3 linked regions of the Saccharomyces cerevisiae S288C genome follow. Each later gene encodes a partner of the first gene's protein in a complex. Each region holds a gene or a part of one and is shown in the gene's direction. Other genes may lie near its edges.

Region 1 (5,626 bases):
TAACAGAAAGCAAACCCAATTGCAGCAAAATAATTATCAAAATGATGAATTGGTTATTCCAGATGCAAAGAAAGATTCATGGAACAAGATTTCTTCAAGAAATGAGCAAAGCACACACCAATCTCAGCCGCAACAAGATGCTCAAGATGATCTGGTTTTGGAAGATGATGAACATGAATACGATGTCGATGATATCGATGATCCCAAATACCTACCAATAACTCAGTCTTTGAATATTACACATTTAATTCACTCTGCAACTAACTCTCCATCCATAAATGATAAAACGAAAGGTACAGTTATAAATGATAAGGATCAGGTACTAGCTAAATTAGGCCAGATGATCATCAGCCAGTCAAGATCCAACTCAACATCCTTGCCAGCTGCAAATAAACAAACAACCATCAGATCAAAGAACACTAAGCAGAACATTCCTATGGCTACACCAGTACAACTACTAGAAATGGAGAGCATCACGTCCGAATTTTTCAGTATTAACTCGGCAGGGCTACTAGAAAATTTTGCTGTAAACGCATCGTTCTTCTTAAAGCAGAAACTAGGTGGCCGTGCACGTTTACGTTTACAAAATTCTAATCCGGAACCTTTAGTAGTAATACTAGCCTCAGATTCCAACAGATCTGGTGCGAAAGCTCTGGCGTTGGGTAGACATCTTTGCCAAACGGGGCATATCCGTGTCATAACATTATTTACATGTTCTCAAAATGAACTACAGGATTCCATGGTCAAAAAGCAAACAGATATTTACAAGAAGTGTGGCGGAAAAATTGTTAATAGTGTATCGTCGCTGGAATCTGCTATGGAAACATTAAATAGCCCTGTAGAAATAGTCATCGATGCCATGCAGGGATATGACTGTACATTGAGCGATCTGGCGGGGACGTCGGAAGTTATTGAAAGCAGAATTAAAAGCATGATATCATGGTGTAACAAACAGCGAGGATCTACTAAAGTGTGGTCTTTGGATATTCCAAATGGGTTTGATGCGGGATCCGGCATGCCAGATATTTTCTTTTCAGACAGGATTGAAGCAACAGGAATTATTTGTTCTGGCTGGCCTTTGATTGCCATCAACAACTTAATTGCAAATTTGCCAAGTCTAGAAGATGCTGTTTTGATTGATATAGGTATACCACAGGGCGCCTATTCACAGAGAACTTCTTTGCGTAAGTTCCAAAACTGTGATCTTTTCGTCACTGACGGGTCCCTGCTATTAGATTTGTAAACCAAGAATTACTTTAGCCTAAACTGGATACATACGTATAAGCATACGGTAAGGAAGTGGGATCTGTAGCGGTAATGCAATAATGTGTTGGCTCTCACAAATATGAAAACTGCGAACATCTATATAATAAGGTAACGGTATAACAGAAAAATCTGAATAATTTCTCTTTCCCGGGTAATGAGCCCTTAAGGAGGACTCAAAACGAAAAGGAAAAAAATACGAGTGGAAAGAAAAAATGAACCCTTTCCAGTAATTGATAATAATACAATCATTCATTATTAGAAATATATTAGTTCTCAATTCAAGGCAGAATAGTGCTGTCATTGTGATCAAATTTTTGTGTGAGTCTGCTTTGCTTTCTGTTTTTTTTTGTTGACTCGCTGTTCAATCTCCTACTTTTCCTTTTGTTGTTAAAATAAGGTATTATATATTTATACAACCCTATAAAAAGCAATTAGCCAATTTCCAATCCTACGAAGACAGGAACTGAGCAAACTATAAGGGTGTTCTTTCTTCTGTACTATATATACATTTGCAACTATGGGTTCATGTTGTAGTTGCTTGAAAGATTCTTCAGACGAGGCCAGTGTCTCACCAATTGCCGATAATGAAAGAGAAGCGGTGACTTTATTACTAGGGTATTTGGAGGATAAAGACCAATTAGACTTTTACTCTGGTGGTCCACTAAAGGCCCTAACTACTTTGGTGTATTCAGATAATCTAAATTTGCAAAGGAGCGCCGCTCTGGCATTCGCAGAAATTACTGAAAAATACGTCCGTCAGGTCTCTAGAGAGGTACTGGAACCCATCTTAATATTATTACAAAGCCAAGATCCACAGATTCAAGTGGCCGCTTGTGCAGCCTTGGGTAATTTGGCCGTTAATAATGAAAATAAATTATTAATTGTGGAAATGGGAGGCTTAGAGCCATTAATAAACCAAATGATGGGTGACAATGTAGAAGTTCAATGTAATGCTGTTGGATGCATTACCAATTTAGCCACAAGGGATGACAATAAACATAAGATTGCTACTTCTGGTGCTTTAATTCCATTGACTAAGCTAGCTAAATCCAAACATATAAGAGTTCAGAGAAATGCTACAGGTGCATTATTAAATATGACACATTCTGAGGAAAATAGAAAAGAATTGGTTAATGCAGGTGCTGTGCCTGTATTGGTATCTTTACTGTCGTCCACCGATCCTGATGTTCAGTACTATTGTACTACTGCTTTATCAAATATAGCAGTGGATGAAGCCAATCGCAAGAAGTTGGCTCAAACTGAGCCAAGATTGGTTTCCAAATTGGTTAGTCTGATGGATTCTCCATCTTCAAGGGTAAAATGTCAAGCTACTTTGGCTTTACGAAACCTAGCGTCCGATACAAGCTACCAATTAGAAATTGTAAGGGCTGGTGGGTTGCCTCATTTGGTAAAGTTGATTCAAAGTGATTCTATACCACTGGTTTTGGCTAGTGTGGCATGCATTAGAAACATTTCTATTCACCCTCTAAATGAAGGTTTAATTGTTGATGCAGGTTTCTTAAAACCATTAGTAAGATTGTTGGACTATAAGGATTCAGAAGAAATTCAATGTCACGCCGTATCTACTTTGAGAAATTTGGCTGCATCATCTGAAAAAAACAGAAAAGAGTTCTTCGAAAGTGGTGCTGTCGAAAAATGTAAGGAACTGGCTCTAGATTCACCTGTTAGTGTTCAAAGTGAAATTTCCGCATGTTTTGCTATTTTAGCCCTAGCAGATGTCTCCAAATTGGATCTACTGGAAGCAAATATCTTAGATGCTTTAATCCCTATGACTTTTTCCCAGAACCAAGAAGTTTCTGGTAATGCTGCTGCTGCTTTGGCAAATCTATGTTCAAGAGTGAATAATTATACAAAAATTATTGAAGCATGGGATCGTCCGAATGAAGGCATTCGTGGATTTCTGATTAGATTTTTGAAAAGTGACTATGCTACCTTTGAACACATTGCGCTATGGACAATTTTACAATTGCTAGAAAGTCATAATGATAAAGTGGAAGATTTGGTTAAAAATGATGACGACATCATTAACGGAGTGAGAAAAATGGCAGATGTGACCTTTGAGCGTTTACAAAGATCAGGAATTGATGTTAAAAATCCGGGGAGCAACAACAATCCAAGCTCGAATGATAACAACAGTAATAACAATGACACAGGATCTGAACATCAACCTGTAGAGGATGCAAGTTTGGAATTGTATAATATTACTCAACAGATTTTACAATTTTTACATTGATTTTCTTCAAAAGCGGGACTAGGCATTATAATTTTTATCAAAATTTTCTTCTCAGAAGTTTTATTTTCTTTCTCTCCATTTCTTCCATCTTTTTAATCTTTGTTTCCTTTTTTTACATCATATTACTTCTACCTACTCTACTCTATTCTAATTTCAATTGATTTTTTTTATTTTATTTTTTTTTTTGTTAATAAAAGAAGAAAAAACTTAAAAACGAATAAGAGGCTGTCTTTGTTCCGTAGTATATGCCTATTTCCTTCTAGAAGTTTGAAGTGTCGTAAATTTTACCTACGGATAATGTTCGTTACATTGTTGAATGGCAACTGTAGTGAGGTAATGTTCAAAAAGTGAGAAAGCGGGAGAGAAGGGCTACATACAAAAACCAATTCTAGATAACATCTATATCTTCGTTTTTAGAATATATTGTAATAAAACACAATTGATAATACAGTTCTCTCTTCGTCCTCTGATGGTGGGAGATCTATTAAAAATACAAGTTAGCTGAGCGGGGGAAAAAAATAGGTCTTACCCGGATTCGAACCGGGGTTGTTCGGATCAAAACCGAAAGTGATAACCACTACACTATAAAACCTCTTAATTATTGATTTCCACAATAATTTTATCATATATCAACACTATTCTTCACATAGTTTTTTTAATCCCGGTGTCTCTCATCTGCTAATGAAAATACGTTCACTCATATTTCATGCACCTTCCAGTAGACTGACCCTTCATAAGGTTAAGAATATCATGGGGAAATTATCGCAATGCATGTCTCTTAAAGAATACAAGAATATATAAAGGCGAATCAACGATTCTTCACGATAATTTGTTTTCCTCTTAATCACACAGCAGTCTGAATTCTATCAGTGGCACATTAATCCTTGTTTCAATGCTCGTGTGCACATCTGCGTAAATATACATTCTTACGTTTTCTTATTTAATAATAGTAGGTTGAGCTTCGTCCACCGGGTAATGCTCCCGGAGCAGTGGAATTAAAAAAAAAAAGGGTGAGCACCGGAAACAGCTATCTGCGCTTAAGTATCACTAACGTAAAGCATAGGTAGGATTTCCAGTTCTGCCACATTTGATAAATAGTGTAATCCGTAATTATCAAGCGAGATAGTTTTCGAATATAATTTAGAAGTAAGAGCAAAATATTAATAGTATTTCATAAGGAATATTGGAAGAAAGGAGCGTAATACGAAAGATGAGGTATGTTTGATAAGATATATACGTATATTTATATATCACTCTTCTGAGAAAGTATGCCATAGAATGAGGATCACTAACAAAGAAAATGTCAATGAACTTCAAAGATATCGTTTAATGAAACAGTAGCTCTAAAAGAAGGATCGAGACAGATGTTATGAAACTGTTGATGAGTGATCATCAAGTGGATTTAATCAATGATAGCATGCAAGAGTTTCATGTAAAGTTCTTGGGACCAAAGGATACACCCTACGAAAATGGGGTTTGGAGGTTACATGTAGAGTTGCCGGATAATTACCCATACAAGTCGCCAAGCATAGGGTTCGTTAACAAGATATTCCATCCTAACATTGATATCGCATCGGGGTCCATATGTTTGGACGTAATTAACTCTACATGGTCGCCTTTATATGATCTGATAAATATAGTGGAGTGGATGATACCAGGTTTATTAAAGGAGCCTAATGGTAGCGATCCCTTGAATAACGAAGCTGCCACATTGCAATTACGAGATAAAAAACTGTATGAGGAAAAAATCAAAGAGTATATAGACAAGTATGCTACAAAGGAAAAGTACCAACAAATGTTTGGCGGAGATAATGATAGCGATGACAGTGATAGCGGCGGTGATTTACAAGAAGAGGACAGTGATTCTGATGAAGATATGGATGGCACTGGTGTTTCCAGTGGCGATGATAGCGTAGATGAGTTAAGCGAGGATCTAAGTGACATAGATGTCAGTGATGACGATGACTACGACGAAGTCGCAAATCAATAATTTCGAGCACACACATATATATATATATATATATATGTATGTATGTATAAGTATATATGATGGCATACTATACCACACGTACGACTATAATTACAAACAACTATCAAGCAACTACA
Region 2 (8,413 bases), on another chromosome or scaffold:
ATCTCCTCTTTAATCAGAGAGGCAATGCAAGCCTGGTCCGAAGAAGAGTTGTCTAGATTAGTCCATAAGCATGGCGGGAGGCCCATTGGCTCCTATAAGTTTGTTCCTATGGATGACTTCTCATATCCTGCGGATATTAATTTAAACGAGGAGCATTGTTTCAACGACTCCAACGATAACTCCATAAGATGTGTATCAGAGATCATGATTCCAAAGATTTTAACCGCCACTCCGCCACACGCTTTATTCATGGACTGTACCCATGATAATGAAACTCCCTTTGAAAAAAGAACAGTGGAGGATACTTTGCCCAATGCTGCATTGGTGGCTCTTTGCTCGTCCGCCATTGGATCTGTTTATGGCTACGACGAAATTTTTCCACATTTACTGAATTTGGTCACTGAAAAAAGACATTATGACATTTCTACGCCTACTGGTAGCCCCTCGATAGGAATAACCAAAGTCAAGGCCACTTTGAATTCGATTAGAACGAGTATAGGAGAAAAGGCGTATGACATTGAAGACTCAGAAATGCATGTGCATCACCAGGGCCAGTACATTACTTTTCATCGTATGGATGTTAAATCCGGAAAAGGTTGGTACTTGATAGCAAGGATGAAATTTTCTGACAATGATGACCCTAACGAGACTTTACCACCAGTGGTGTTAAACCAATCCACCTGTTCTCTCAGGTTTTCGTATGCTTTGGAAAGAGTTGGCGATGAAATTCCCAACGACGATAAATTCATTAAAGGTATTCCCACGAAATTAAAGGAGCTTGAAGGGTTTGACATTTCTTATGATGATTCTAAGAAGATTTCAACGATAAAACTGCCCAATGAATTCCCTCAAGGATCTATTGCCATTTTTGAGACCCAACAGAATGGTGTGGACGAATCCTTAGATCATTTTATAAGGTCAGGTGCTTTAAAGGCCACTTCAAGTTTGACTCTAGAGTCAATAAATTCCGTCTTGTATCGTAGTGAGCCGGAAGAATACGATGTTAGCGCCGGCGAAGGTGGTGCTTATATTATTCCTAATTTTGGAAAGCCTGTGTATTGTGGTCTGCAAGGTTGGGTTTCCGTATTAAGAAAAATTGTGTTTTACAATGATTTAGCACATCCCCTCAGTGCAAATTTAAGAAATGGACATTGGGCTTTAGACTACACTATCAGTAGACTTAATTACTATAGCGATGAAGCAGGAATCAATGAAGTGCAGAACTGGCTGCGTTCAAGGTTTGATAGAGTGAAAAAGTTACCGAGCTACTTAGTGCCCAGTTATTTCGCCTTAATTATCGGCATCCTCTATGGTTGTTGTCGCTTAAAAGCAATACAGCTAATGTCCCGTAATATTGGTAAATCTACATTGTTTGTACAAAGCTTATCTATGACATCAATCCAGATGGTTTCCAGAATGAAGTCAACCTCTATTTTACCAGGCGAAAATGTTCCATCTATGGCTGCAGGGTTGCCACACTTTAGCGTAAACTACATGAGATGTTGGGGGAGAGATGTATTCATATCGCTAAGAGGTATGCTATTAACAACAGGTAGATTTGATGAAGCTAAAGCTCATATACTAGCCTTTGCAAAGACTTTGAAGCATGGTTTAATTCCAAACTTGCTGGATGCCGGTAGAAACCCGAGATATAATGCTCGTGATGCTGCCTGGTTCTTCTTGCAAGCTGTACAGGATTATGTTTATATTGTTCCTGATGGCGAAAAAATATTACAAGAGCAAGTAACAAGGAGATTCCCACTGGATGATACTTACATTCCTGTAGATGATCCAAGGGCATTTAGTTACTCTAGTACCTTGGAGGAGATCATTTATGAAATTTTGAGTAGGCATGCCAAGGGAATTAAATTCAGAGAGGCTAATGCAGGTCCAAATTTAGATCGTGTTATGACTGATAAAGGGTTTAATGTTGAAATTCATGTCGATTGGTCGACTGGCTTAATTCATGGTGGATCTCAGTATAACTGTGGTACTTGGATGGATAAGATGGGTGAAAGTGAAAAAGCAGGGTCTGTTGGTATTCCTGGAACACCCAGAGATGGAGCCGCAATAGAAATCAATGGGCTTTTAAAAAGTGCTTTAAGGTTTGTTATTGAACTAAAAAACAAGGGATTGTTTAAGTTTTCCGATGTGGAGACGCAGGACGGCGGGAGGATCGATTTCACTGAATGGAATCAATTACTTCAAGACAATTTCGAAAAAAGATATTATGTTCCGGAGGATCCATCACAGGATGCAGATTATGACGTGAGCGCTAAATTGGGTGTTAATAGACGGGGGATATACAGAGATTTGTACAAATCAGGAAAGCCTTATGAAGATTATCAGTTAAGACCAAATTTTGCTATTGCCATGACTGTGGCACCAGAGTTATTTGTGCCTGAGCATGCCATAAAAGCAATCACCATTGCAGATGAAGTCTTAAGAGGTCCAGTAGGTATGCGTACTTTAGACCCAAGCGATTACAATTACCGTCCGTACTACAACAACGGAGAAGATTCGGATGATTTTGCCACCTCAAAGGGTAGAAACTATCACCAAGGCCCTGAGTGGGTCTGGCTTTACGGCTACTTTTTAAGAGCGTTCCATCATTTCCACTTTAAAACCAGTCCACGTTGTCAGAATGCTGCCAAAGAGAAACCATCCTCTTATTTGTATCAACAATTATACTACAGATTAAAAGGCCATAGAAAATGGATTTTTGAAAGTGTGTGGGCAGGATTGACAGAGCTAACCAATAAAGATGGTGAAGTATGCAATGACTCAAGCCCCACGCAAGCCTGGAGTTCTGCTTGTTTGTTAGATCTATTTTATGATTTATGGGATGCCTACGAAGATGATTCCTGAAAATAGCTAAAGCATAAATTAATTGAACGGTCCCTTTTTGCCACCCGCTAATACTTTTATTTCTGTTCAACTATATATACATATATATATATTTACATATTTTTACCTCCCTATCTCTATTGATAATAAAACAAATAAAAATCGTATATTTTTGTATATGTATTATCGTTTTGAGGAGCGAGAGCGAAAACGAAAATAAAAGAAATAAAGGGAACACACGTGAAAGTGAAGGACAGCACCAACCAAGGGGGACAAAACGCGTCAGAGCAAGAGGTGAAAGGGTTGCCACGTACGTATTTGAACCGGAGTGAGCCGTTTGCGTGTTACAATCAATTCGATATCTTTGTTGTTTTGTTTAATTCGCTAAGATCTAAGTTTTTAACTAAGTGAGCAGCGGCAGTTACAGAAAGAGGCGAGAAGTAGAAACAAGGGTGTATAGATTTTCGTTACCTCACATAGATATAGAACGAATTCATAGGTACCAAATACATTCCACTTACACCTTCCAGGCTCAAGTCTTGAAAAGAAAGCAGAACATACAGCCCGGTTGAATAGCATGAGTCATGGTTGCCGAAGAGGACATCGAGAAGCAAGTCCTTCAATTGATAGACAGCTTTTTTCTGAAGACTACACTACTAATATGCTCCACCGAATCAAGTCGATACCAGTCTTCTACAGAAAATATATTCCTATTTGACGACACATGGTTTGAAGATCACTCAGAATTAGTGAGTGAGCTACCCGAGATAATATCAAAATGGTCTCACTACGATGGTCGAAAAGAGTTGCCACCCTTAGTGGTAGAGACATATTTGGATTTAAGACAGTTAAACTCGTCTCATTTAGTTAGATTAAAGGACCACGAAGGCCATTTGTGGAACGTTTGCAAAGGAACTAAGAAGCAGGAAATCGTGATGGAACGTTGGCTTATCGAATTAGATAATTCATCCCCAACTTTCAAATCATACAGTGAAGATGAGACTGATGTTAATGAACTTTCTAAACAGCTAGTCCTTCTCTTCCGTTATTTGTTGACTTTAATACAGTTACTACCCACAACAGAATTATACCAATTATTAATAAAGTCTTATAACGGCCCGCAAAATGAAGGAAGTTCCAATCCAATAACTTCCACGGGCCCACTAGTAAGTATCCGGACGTGTGTCCTTGACGGATCTAAACCAATTTTATCGAAGGGGAGAATAGGGTTGAGCAAACCGATTATTAATACATATTCCAATGCGCTTAACGAATCAAACCTGCCAGCCCATTTAGATCAAAAGAAGATCACACCTGTATGGACAAAGTTTGGACTCTTAAGAGTCTCGGTATCATACAGACGTGATTGGAAGTTTGAAATTAACAATACAAACGACGAATTATTTTCAGCTCGACATGCATCTGTCTCACATAACTCACAAGGACCCCAGAATCAGCCAGAACAAGAAGGACAAAGTGATCAAGACATAGGGAAACGCCAACCACAATTTCAACAGCAGCAGCAGCCCCAACAGCAGCAGCAGCAGCAGCAACAGCAACAGAGACAACACCAGGTCCAGACACAACAACAAAGACAGATACCTGATAGGAGATCTCTTTCACTTTCTCCTTGTACAAGAGCCAATTCTTTTGAACCACAATCTTGGCAGAAGAAAGTCTATCCAATATCGAGACCTGTTCAACCATTTAAAGTTGGTTCAATTGGAAGTCAAAGTGCGAGCAGAAATCCCTCTAATTCATCGTTTTTCAACCAACCACCTGTTCATAGGCCAAGTATGAGCTCCAACTACGGGCCACAAATGAATATTGAAGGTACCAGTGTTGGAAGCACCTCAAAGTATTCCTCCTCCTTTGGGAACATTCGTCGTCACTCAAGTGTAAAGACGACAGAGAATGCTGAAAAAGTATCAAAAGCTGTAAAGAGCCCACTACAACCTCAAGAATCACAAGAAGATTTAATGGATTTTGTTAAATTACTCGAAGAAAAACCCGATCTAACTATAAAGAAGACAAGTGGAAATAATCCACCCAATATCAATATTTCTGATTCTCTAATCAGATATCAGAATTTGAAGCCAAGTAATGACTTATTAAGTGAAGATTTATCCGTAAGTTTATCCATGGATCCAAATCATACATATCACAGAGGCAGATCAGATTCCCACTCACCATTGCCTTCAATATCCCCTTCGATGCATTATGGATCGTTGAACTCGAGAATGTCTCAAGGCGCCAATGCAAGCCATTTGATTGCAAGAGGCGGTGGGAATTCATCTACTAGTGCCTTGAATAGTAGAAGGAATTCTTTAGATAAGAGCTCAAACAAGCAGGGTATGTCAGGCTTACCTCCTATTTTTGGTGGAGAGAGTACTTCATATCACCACGACAACAAAATACAAAAGTACAACCAATTAGGAGTAGAAGAAGATGATGATGACGAGAATGACCGTTTGCTCAACCAAATGGGAAACAGTGCTACAAAATTCAAAAGTTCAATATCTCCAAGATCAATTGATAGCATTTCAAGTTCTTTCATAAAAAGTAGGATACCTATCAGACAACCATACCATTACTCTCAACCAACTACTGCGCCCTTTCAAGCTCAGGCGAAATTTCATAAACCTGCAAATAAGTTAATCGATAATGGTAATAGGAGTAATAGTAACAATAACAATCATAATGGGAATGATGCAGTTGGTGTGATGCATAATGACGAGGATGATCAAGATGATGATCTAGTATTTTTCATGAGTGATATGAACCTTTCTAAAGAAGGTTAAAAATGGTAAAGTTTTATTTTAAAGGGCACAACTAAAGAAAAATAATCAAAAAAAAGGTGAAATAGATATGCAAGAAAAGAAAAAAAAATACAATACTAGTAAACTGAAATAAAAAAGATTAGCCATAATGGATTTGTTTCTCTTTGTTATCGATATTCTTACCTCTTGAAGATCCATGTGTCTATCATTTGAATTGAATATATAATTATATACAGTGAGATATACCAATTGCAGTAACAAAATGGCAAATATGTATATCAGTAATATAATTAGCATATAAAATAAAAAAAAAAAATGCTTATTTGTCACCCGCTGACTGCGTTTCCTTTTGAATTATAAAAGGTTCCTTATGGTTCTGGTCCACTAGCGTTTTATTTTCTTCCTTTTCCTGTAATATTTTTAACTTTAGCTCATGTACTTTGTGCTTGTCTATATGTTTCTCGTATTTTTCCTTTGTCTTGAAAGTCCTAGAACAATTATTGTAAAAGCATCTGTATTTTCTTCCAACGGTATTCAATAAAAGGTTTAGCCCATTTTCACCAGACTCAAGTCGCTTTTCTAAATCCACTTCATTCTGTAAAAACTCTACATTATTGTTTTCGGTAAGTTTTCTCCTTTTCCTCAACCTATTGGAAATCTTCTCTTCATCCTGCTCATTCGAGTGTTTGCTATTCCCCAGTTGAACTCCGTGGTCTTGGACAAGTTGTTGAATATCAGAAATTTTATATTTTAGTTCCAGTGGGATATCTTCTTCCGTATGAATAGACCCATAATGCGTGAGAAGATCATGTTTTCTAGAAAAAGACATATCAGGACATATATGACACTTCCAATTTTTGGTTACTAGTGAGTCGTCATGAATAATCATGTGCATTTGTAAACCATTTTCCCCCACACATGGTTTGCTACAAATAGGACATTTTAATTTAGGATGATCATTTTTTATATGCGATTGCAATTGTGACCATATCCGAAACTCTTTGCAACAACCAGCAAAAGTACATTGGTAAGGATTTTCTACCTCAGGATCGTGATGTTTAGAAATGTGATTTCTTAGCCTATATGGCCTCTGAAAGCTTTTATTGCAGTGTGGACAGGTTAGTTTATGTAAATGAACAGATAAAATATGTGCCCTTAATTGTGGATGCTTGTAGAATCGGAGGTTGCATCCTTCCTCTGGACAAATGAAAGATTTGGTATGCGTTACTTCGTGTCGCTTCAGTTGCTGGCGAGTCGTCACTCCTTTTCCACAATAAGAACATTGGAATGGTTTCGTATCAGAATGCGTATACAAGTGTCTCTCTAAGTGACTCTTTTTAACGAAGGATTTTGCACACTTATCACACTGAAATGCTCTTAAACCCTGATGTACGCTTAATTGGTGTTCAGTCAAAATTGAAGGTCTTGTAAATGCCTTATCACAGCCATCATAGTCACAGAAATATGTCTTTGGCCTATTGCTCGATGAGCTTCTAGTTGATGTTAAACTGTTCAATGATTCTGAACTCTCTGATCGTGATATGGGAATGGTCTCCTGTTTAAGTTCGGCCAGTGGCATTCCTTCATTATTTAGAACCTCTCCTCCCATTTGACAGCGATTTCAACAGTTACTACTGTGCTTAATGCCCTTATTTGATAGTTAGTTCTTCTTATAATAAATAATCATTGTATATTGATTATTCGTATAGTATGATATTTAATTGAAAAAAAAATTTTTTTTTTTTTAAGAATATCATTCAAAGGCATCAATCACAACCTTGAAGAAAGGCTAAAAAGACACATTTTGCAGGTAACAGTGTAAAGATTAAGGCTACAAGTGATCATGTCAGACTACGAGGAGGCGTATGTGCATTCATATTGGAGAAATTGCGTGCTTTAGTTTTAATTATATTTACTAACTTCTATCATTGTGATACAGGTTTAACGACGGTAATGAGAACTTCGAAGATTTTGATGTAGAGCATTTTTCTGATGAGGAGACTTATGAGGAAAAACCTCAATTCAAGGATGGTGAAACAACCGATGCCAACGGTAAGACCATCGTTACTGGTGGTAATGGCCCAGAAGATTTTCAACAGCATGAGCAAATAAGAAGAAAGACACTTAAGGAAAAGGCCATCCCAAAAGACCAAAGAGCAACTACTCCATACATGACCAAATATGAAAGGGCAAGAATTTTAGGTACAAGAGCCCTACAAATTTCCATGAATGCGCCAGTTTTTGTAGATTTAGAAGGTGAAACTGATCCATTGCGTATTGCCATGAAGGAGTTGGCTGAAAAGAAAATTCCTTTGGTTATTAGAAGATATTTACCAGATGGTTCCTTTGAGGACTGGAGTGTGGAGGAACTCATTGTGGATTTGTGATTACACCTGCATTTTCCTTTATGTGTATTTGCTTTGTTTGTATATTATTATAACTATAAAGAACGATTTATTTTGTAATGCAAATAACTGGACGAGAGAACCACGCTATAACCTATTTGGTAATAAAAATGTTTGTATGAATAAAAAAGCTGCTGACTGCTTTCTTTGATATGTGTATATAGAATATTTAATCGGTGATTGAATCTAAGAAAAGCTTACCTCTGAAAGTTCTCTCTTCGGTCGCTTGCTGATTTGTAGTAAACAATTTGAAAAGTTTAGCAAATTCTTCCTCAGGATTTTCAAAACCGGCTTCCTTTAAAGAATCAATGACCTCATTCAAGGGAACGTTTAAATCGTGTCCTCTTCCAATGGCTTTTAAACTTTCTTCCAATTCTTCAC
Region 3 (4,015 bases), on another chromosome or scaffold:
TCTTACATTTTTATACTAAAGAGTTACGGTATTTATACAAACGAGGGGCTTTACTGTAATATATGATTAAGATTCAAGCTGAAACATTCTAAGTTAGAGGTATAAAATGATTATTGATGAAAGAGCTGCAAATGTCGGCAAAATATAAATACCTTAGATGTTACCAGCTGGGAAGATTATTACGGAACACATTCTTATAAATCTATAGGAATACATAGGATTGTATTTCTATTGACAAAGTACAACCTATATTTTATGTTATGTTATGTTATGTTTGCTATGACTATAGTTGCTTTTCTTCACTTAGTAAGGATTAACTAACTCTCGAGCTAGTAAATTTGACGTGAGAAGCATAATTATATTACTAATAGAACGATATCTGGTGTGTTTTATTACAGACTGCACTGAGTGTTAGAGGTAGAAATTATAAGTTAAAAAGCAGTAGTTTATGCTTTATGCTCGAGTATCAAGTGAATTTGAACAGGCTAGTGCTTCATTGGTACTTCTTTCATGGATAATTTTGAGCAAATTTCTGCAGCATGTCCCCCTTTATACAAATTCTGTGCATTGCCGGCCTAGAAATATGTCAACGTTTTGGATATGTTGATGCTTACTTCGAGAAATCTTACACTAATACTTCTGGAAAAAATCAATACTAGCAAAATAGTGATATATGAGTAAAATGTATGTAGTACATGTATGAAAATTATCAAGGGCAAATTGATGCTTCAACGAAAAAGTTATTGGATTTTCAAGCACTTTTTAAATTCACAATATTTTTTTCTGGAAATATGAAATTGTCAGCGACTTCTATTACAGGAGTGTCTTTTTTTCTCATGCTATCCAACGCTTCTTCCAAGTCCTTTATAGTATTAGAGGAGCCGCCACAAGCAATAATTATCACAATGTCATCCGCAGCTAATTTTGAGCCCAGTGCATTTTCTAGGATCTTAGTGTTGTAACCCAAATGCAATGCGGCGCCACATGCCGGTTCAATCACCATATTGAATTGATGTGTATATTTAAGACAGGTTTCAATAACATCTTTGTCCTCTATTACAACGGATCTGGTGTTGTATTTGCGAGCGTATTCGAAAGTTTGATTAGAGATCACGGCCGTTCCTAGAGAAGTAGCAATACTTGTTATCTTCTTGAATTGAACTGGTTGGCCTATTTTCAAAGAAGTATTGAAAACATGACATCCATTCGTTTCCACCCCCACAATAGGGATCCTATCAGCTAAACCATACCTTTCCAAACCTTGAATAATACCATTGTATAAACCACCTCCACCAACGCTGCATACTATGCCTTTAACCTTATTCACGGAAATATGTTGCGATTTCAAATCTTGTACTATTTCATCTATCATAGATGAATGTCCTTCCCAAATATCCGGATTATCGAAGGGATGAACATAAATGGGCTCAATGACCTGAGAGTCTATTTTATTCATGACATTTGTTTTTAAAAAAGTATCTGCTTCTTTCCAGTAGGCACCACTCACGATAACCTGGGCACCGGTGTTCCTGATTTTATCTACCATTCTCTTCTTTGTCGCTGTAGGAACCACGACTGTACATGGTAGAGACAGTCTTTGACATGCTGTTGCAGCAGCAAAACCGGCATTACCGCCAGAACTAGCGAAAACCTGAGGAGATCTTTTACCGTCCTTTTGAATTCGAATGGCACTTTTCATGATGAGATTACCGATTCCTCTACTTTTGAAGGAGCCACTTGGTTGAAGGCATTCATATTTCAAGAAAAATTGTGCAGAAGCCTTTCCGGGGAAGAATTGACGTAATAATGGTGTTTTATTGTAGACTATCGACATCTCGCTGGTTAATTTTCCTGTCTCTTGTCTATCCAGCACTTAAAAAAGAGAAAACTGTATAAACATTTTCCTTTTATTTGGCGATATTTATATACCTGTGTTCCTCCTCATATTGTCCCTTTTATCTTATCTCATCGCAAACAATTTGATAAAGCTTTGGCACTATTTAATGACACTCAGTGGAATTACATTTCCGCTGGGGCTTAACAGGAGCCGCCCATGCGGAATCATGTCTCCGCGCAGAGGACTCATTAGTTTCCGTTCGCGGTGATTAGTACTCGCGAAAAGAGAAAAAGAAAAATAGTAGGAACATTTCGCAATTGATCAAAATGTAAACAGTGCAGTAAAGAATGGGACCATAAGATAGATAAGAAACAGCTCGCATAAGGAAACAAGGACACATCGATTAATGGCAACCCAAGCCCTAGAGGATATCACGGAGAGGCTTTTAATAAGGTCGCAAGAGGCTATCTTGCAATTAGATCTGTGGATACAACGTCAGCAGAGATCATCAATATGCCAGACAACAGATCAAGAGTCATTGGATAAGTTATCCCAACAGTACAACCAGTATATGTCTCAACTGAACTCTTTGTATGTTAGATCGGAATCTGTTCGAGACAAGTTGAGCAAGGAACAACAACGCAGATTGATCACAGAGGATAATGAGCATCAACGCATAGAAGACTTGGTTCGTGAATTCCAGGATATCACTTTGAGGTTGAACGAGCTGGCCACCGTCCCAAATGAAGCGCCTAATGATTCTCCACAATCGCAATCCACCAGAAGTAGTTTAGGGTCATTTCAACCTCGACCATTGAAAATAATTGAGAGGCAACGTCTGTGTATGGTAACTCCATCGAAACCACCAAAAAAATCGGTAGGCTTTAACCCCATCAATGAAGTCGATTGTCCTTCGAAAACTAACTCTTTACCGTGCTCACCTAAAAAACAACCTGCAAGAAATCGCACTTTACGTGCAGCCAAATCACATGATACTGGCTTGAACAAAAGTAAGAAACCGTCTTCCTCGGATACGTATGAGTCTTTCTTCAAAAATAGACAAAGACTTTCGTTGACCTTCTTTGATGAAATGGATGATGAAGATTTTGATTCTGATCAAGATACTATCATTCTACCAAACATAAGTACCCCTCCACATGTTGGTGTGACCGCAAAGGGTGCTGAATTCGAACCTTTAAGGAGATATAACTCTCACGAAAGTATACTATCTAACAAACCAGCACCTTCTAAGTCGCTCAATCTGGGAAGTTTCTCCGCCTCATTCTTCAGGCCATCTAATCCGACGTTTGGAACTTCGATATCAAATGTCCAAGTGAACTGTCATCCAACTGTTGCAGCGACAATGGCTCCTAGTCGTAATGGTCCTCGTATTTCAAGTTCTAAGGCGTTGTTATCATCATTCATTGCACGATCAGATACACATACGGTAAAAGAGAACAACACAAATCTTAAGCATGCATCTTTTATGGATAAGTTTAATTCATCGTTAAGCACAATATCAGAATCTTTTCAAAGTAAGAGGGGGAGAAAGAATAAGGGCATGAATGAAGAACGAATATCAAATCATAATGTAGCACAGGAACAAAAAAATAATATGGATATAAGCGTCTCTATAGAAGAATTGCAAGATGCTTTGAATACAGAACTGCTGTTTTAATTAATGCCTCCTTTACCTAACCTACTCTTCTTTTGCTCCAAATGTTTATTCTTTTTTTTTTTATTCAGAATATCTTCAAGTTTTTTTGTATCTTTTTGTATTATTATTAAACTTCTTTATAATATTTGTCTTATAAAATCCTATCATAACATGACTATGGCTTGGCCTAGACTCGGGTGCCATCTTTTTTAATGCGACTACTTCAAGACAGCTTCTGGAGTTCAATCAACTTCTTCGGAAAAGATAAAAAACCACTAATTATCAAAGCTATCTTGTCCGCTTTCAAAAAGTTTATTCGATTTTGTTTTCGTTTTCATTTTCATTTTTTTATTATGATGGTCATGGTGGTAGCGGTGGCTCCCTTCAGTTTTCCTCTTTGGTGCTATTAATTTTCTCGTTTTCCCCATATATGTGATAGAAGCTTTTGAACTCCCCACTGTCTTGTAAGACTTTAGAATCTTGACTGTCTTGTTACCTTCTTTAAACTTATCATTTATGTC

Evidence for each region.
Region 2: the proteins of VAC8 (region 1) and ATG13 are in contact, whole or in part, in a crystal structure (PDB 6KBM), measured with the Saccharomyces cerevisiae proteins. Residues at the interface, in NP_010903.3 of Saccharomyces cerevisiae: Val103 (codon at 2,090), Ala107 (codon at 2,102), Gly110 (codon at 2,111), Asn111 (codon at 2,114), Cys144 (codon at 2,213), Asn145 (codon at 2,216), Gly148 (codon at 2,225), Cys149 (codon at 2,228), Thr151 (codon at 2,234), Asn152 (codon at 2,237), Thr155 (codon at 2,246), Lys160 (codon at 2,261), Arg182 (codon at 2,327), Asn186 (codon at 2,339), Gly189 (codon at 2,348), Leu192 (codon at 2,357), Asn193 (codon at 2,360), Thr195 (codon at 2,366), His196 (codon at 2,369), Arg201 (codon at 2,384), Tyr226 (codon at 2,459), Tyr227 (codon at 2,462), Thr230 (codon at 2,471), Ser233 (codon at 2,480), Asn234 (codon at 2,483), Val237 (codon at 2,492), Arg242 (codon at 2,507), Gln270 (codon at 2,591), Arg276 (codon at 2,609), Asn277 (codon at 2,612); in NP_015511.1 of Saccharomyces cerevisiae: Arg661 (codon at 5,412), Ile662 (codon at 5,415), Pro663 (codon at 5,418), Ile664 (codon at 5,421), Arg665 (codon at 5,424), Gln666 (codon at 5,427), His669 (codon at 5,436), Tyr670 (codon at 5,439), Ser671 (codon at 5,442), Gln672 (codon at 5,445), Pro673 (codon at 5,448), Thr674 (codon at 5,451), Thr675 (codon at 5,454), Ala676 (codon at 5,457), Phe678 (codon at 5,463), Gln679 (codon at 5,466), Ala680 (codon at 5,469), Gln681 (codon at 5,472), Ala682 (codon at 5,475), Lys683 (codon at 5,478), Phe684 (codon at 5,481), His685 (codon at 5,484).
Region 3: the proteins of VAC8 (region 1) and VAC17 are in contact, whole or in part, in a crystal structure (PDB 7YCJ), measured with the Saccharomyces cerevisiae proteins. Residues at the interface, in NP_010903.3 of Saccharomyces cerevisiae: Ile20 (codon at 1,841), Arg25 (codon at 1,856), Val28 (codon at 1,865), Thr29 (codon at 1,868), Leu31 (codon at 1,874), Leu32 (codon at 1,877), Leu35 (codon at 1,886), Glu36 (codon at 1,889), Leu55 (codon at 1,946), Asn60 (codon at 1,961), Asn62 (codon at 1,967), Leu63 (codon at 1,970), Arg65 (codon at 1,976), Ser66 (codon at 1,979), Leu69 (codon at 1,988), Ala70 (codon at 1,991), Glu73 (codon at 2,000), Thr151 (codon at 2,234), Ala154 (codon at 2,243), Thr155 (codon at 2,246), Lys160 (codon at 2,261), Gly189 (codon at 2,348), Leu192 (codon at 2,357), Asn193 (codon at 2,360), His196 (codon at 2,369), Arg201 (codon at 2,384), Tyr227 (codon at 2,462), Thr230 (codon at 2,471), Asn234 (codon at 2,483), Val237 (codon at 2,492); in NP_009870.1 of Saccharomyces cerevisiae: Pro296 (codon at 3,129), Ser297 (codon at 3,132), Asn298 (codon at 3,135), Pro299 (codon at 3,138), Thr300 (codon at 3,141), Phe301 (codon at 3,144), Gly302 (codon at 3,147), Thr303 (codon at 3,150), Ser304 (codon at 3,153), Ile305 (codon at 3,156), Ser306 (codon at 3,159), Asn307 (codon at 3,162), Val308 (codon at 3,165), Ser331 (codon at 3,234), Ser332 (codon at 3,237), Lys333 (codon at 3,240), Leu335 (codon at 3,246), Leu336 (codon at 3,249), Ser337 (codon at 3,252), Phe339 (codon at 3,258), Ile340 (codon at 3,261), Ala341 (codon at 3,264).

Annotation. Positions count from the first base shown.
Region 1 is NC_001137.3:127,042-132,667, forward strand, and holds VAC8 (protein anchor VAC8), read left to right. Parts: upstream 1-1,783; coding exon 1,784-3,520; downstream 3,521-5,626. Other genes in the region: EDC3 (Edc3p), read left to right, coding at 1-1,243; YEL014C (uncharacterized protein), read right to left, coding at 1,262-1,567; E2 ubiquitin-conjugating protein UBC8, read left to right, coding at 4,731-4,735, 4,859-5,510. UniProt on the Saccharomyces cerevisiae protein: Functions in both vacuole inheritance and protein targeting from the cytoplasm to vacuole (cvt). Involved in the formation of nucleus-vacuole junctions (NVJs) during piecemeal microautophagy of the nucleus (PMN).
Region 2 is NC_001148.4:903,787-912,199, forward strand, and holds ATG13 (serine/threonine protein kinase regulatory subunit ATG13), read left to right. Parts: upstream 1-3,431; coding exon 3,432-5,648; downstream 5,649-8,413. Other genes in the region: GDB1 (bifunctional 4-alpha-glucanotransferase/amylo-alpha-1,6-glucosidase), read left to right, coding at 1-2,868; PZF1 (Pzf1p), read right to left, coding at 5,947-7,236; DNA-directed RNA polymerase core subunit RPO26, read left to right, coding at 7,471-7,490, 7,567-8,014; MLC2 (Mlc2p), read right to left, coding at 8,202-8,413. UniProt on the Saccharomyces cerevisiae protein: Activates the ATG1 kinase in a nutritional condition dependent manner through the TOR pathway, leading to autophagy. Required for autophosphorylation of ATG1 at 'Thr-226' and its dimerization. May also be involved in the regulation of autophagy through SNF1.
Region 3 is NC_001135.5:15,047-19,061, forward strand, and holds VAC17 (Vac17p), read left to right. Parts: upstream 1-2,243; coding exon 2,244-3,515; downstream 3,516-4,015. Other genes in the region: L-serine/L-threonine ammonia-lyase CHA1, read right to left, coding at 752-1,834; chromatin-modulating protein MRC1, read right to left, coding at 3,770-4,015. UniProt on the Saccharomyces cerevisiae protein: Vacuole-specific MYO2 receptor required for vacuole inheritance. Binds simultaneously to MYO2 and to VAC8, a vacuolar membrane protein, forming a transport complex which moves the attached vacuole membrane along actin cables into the bud.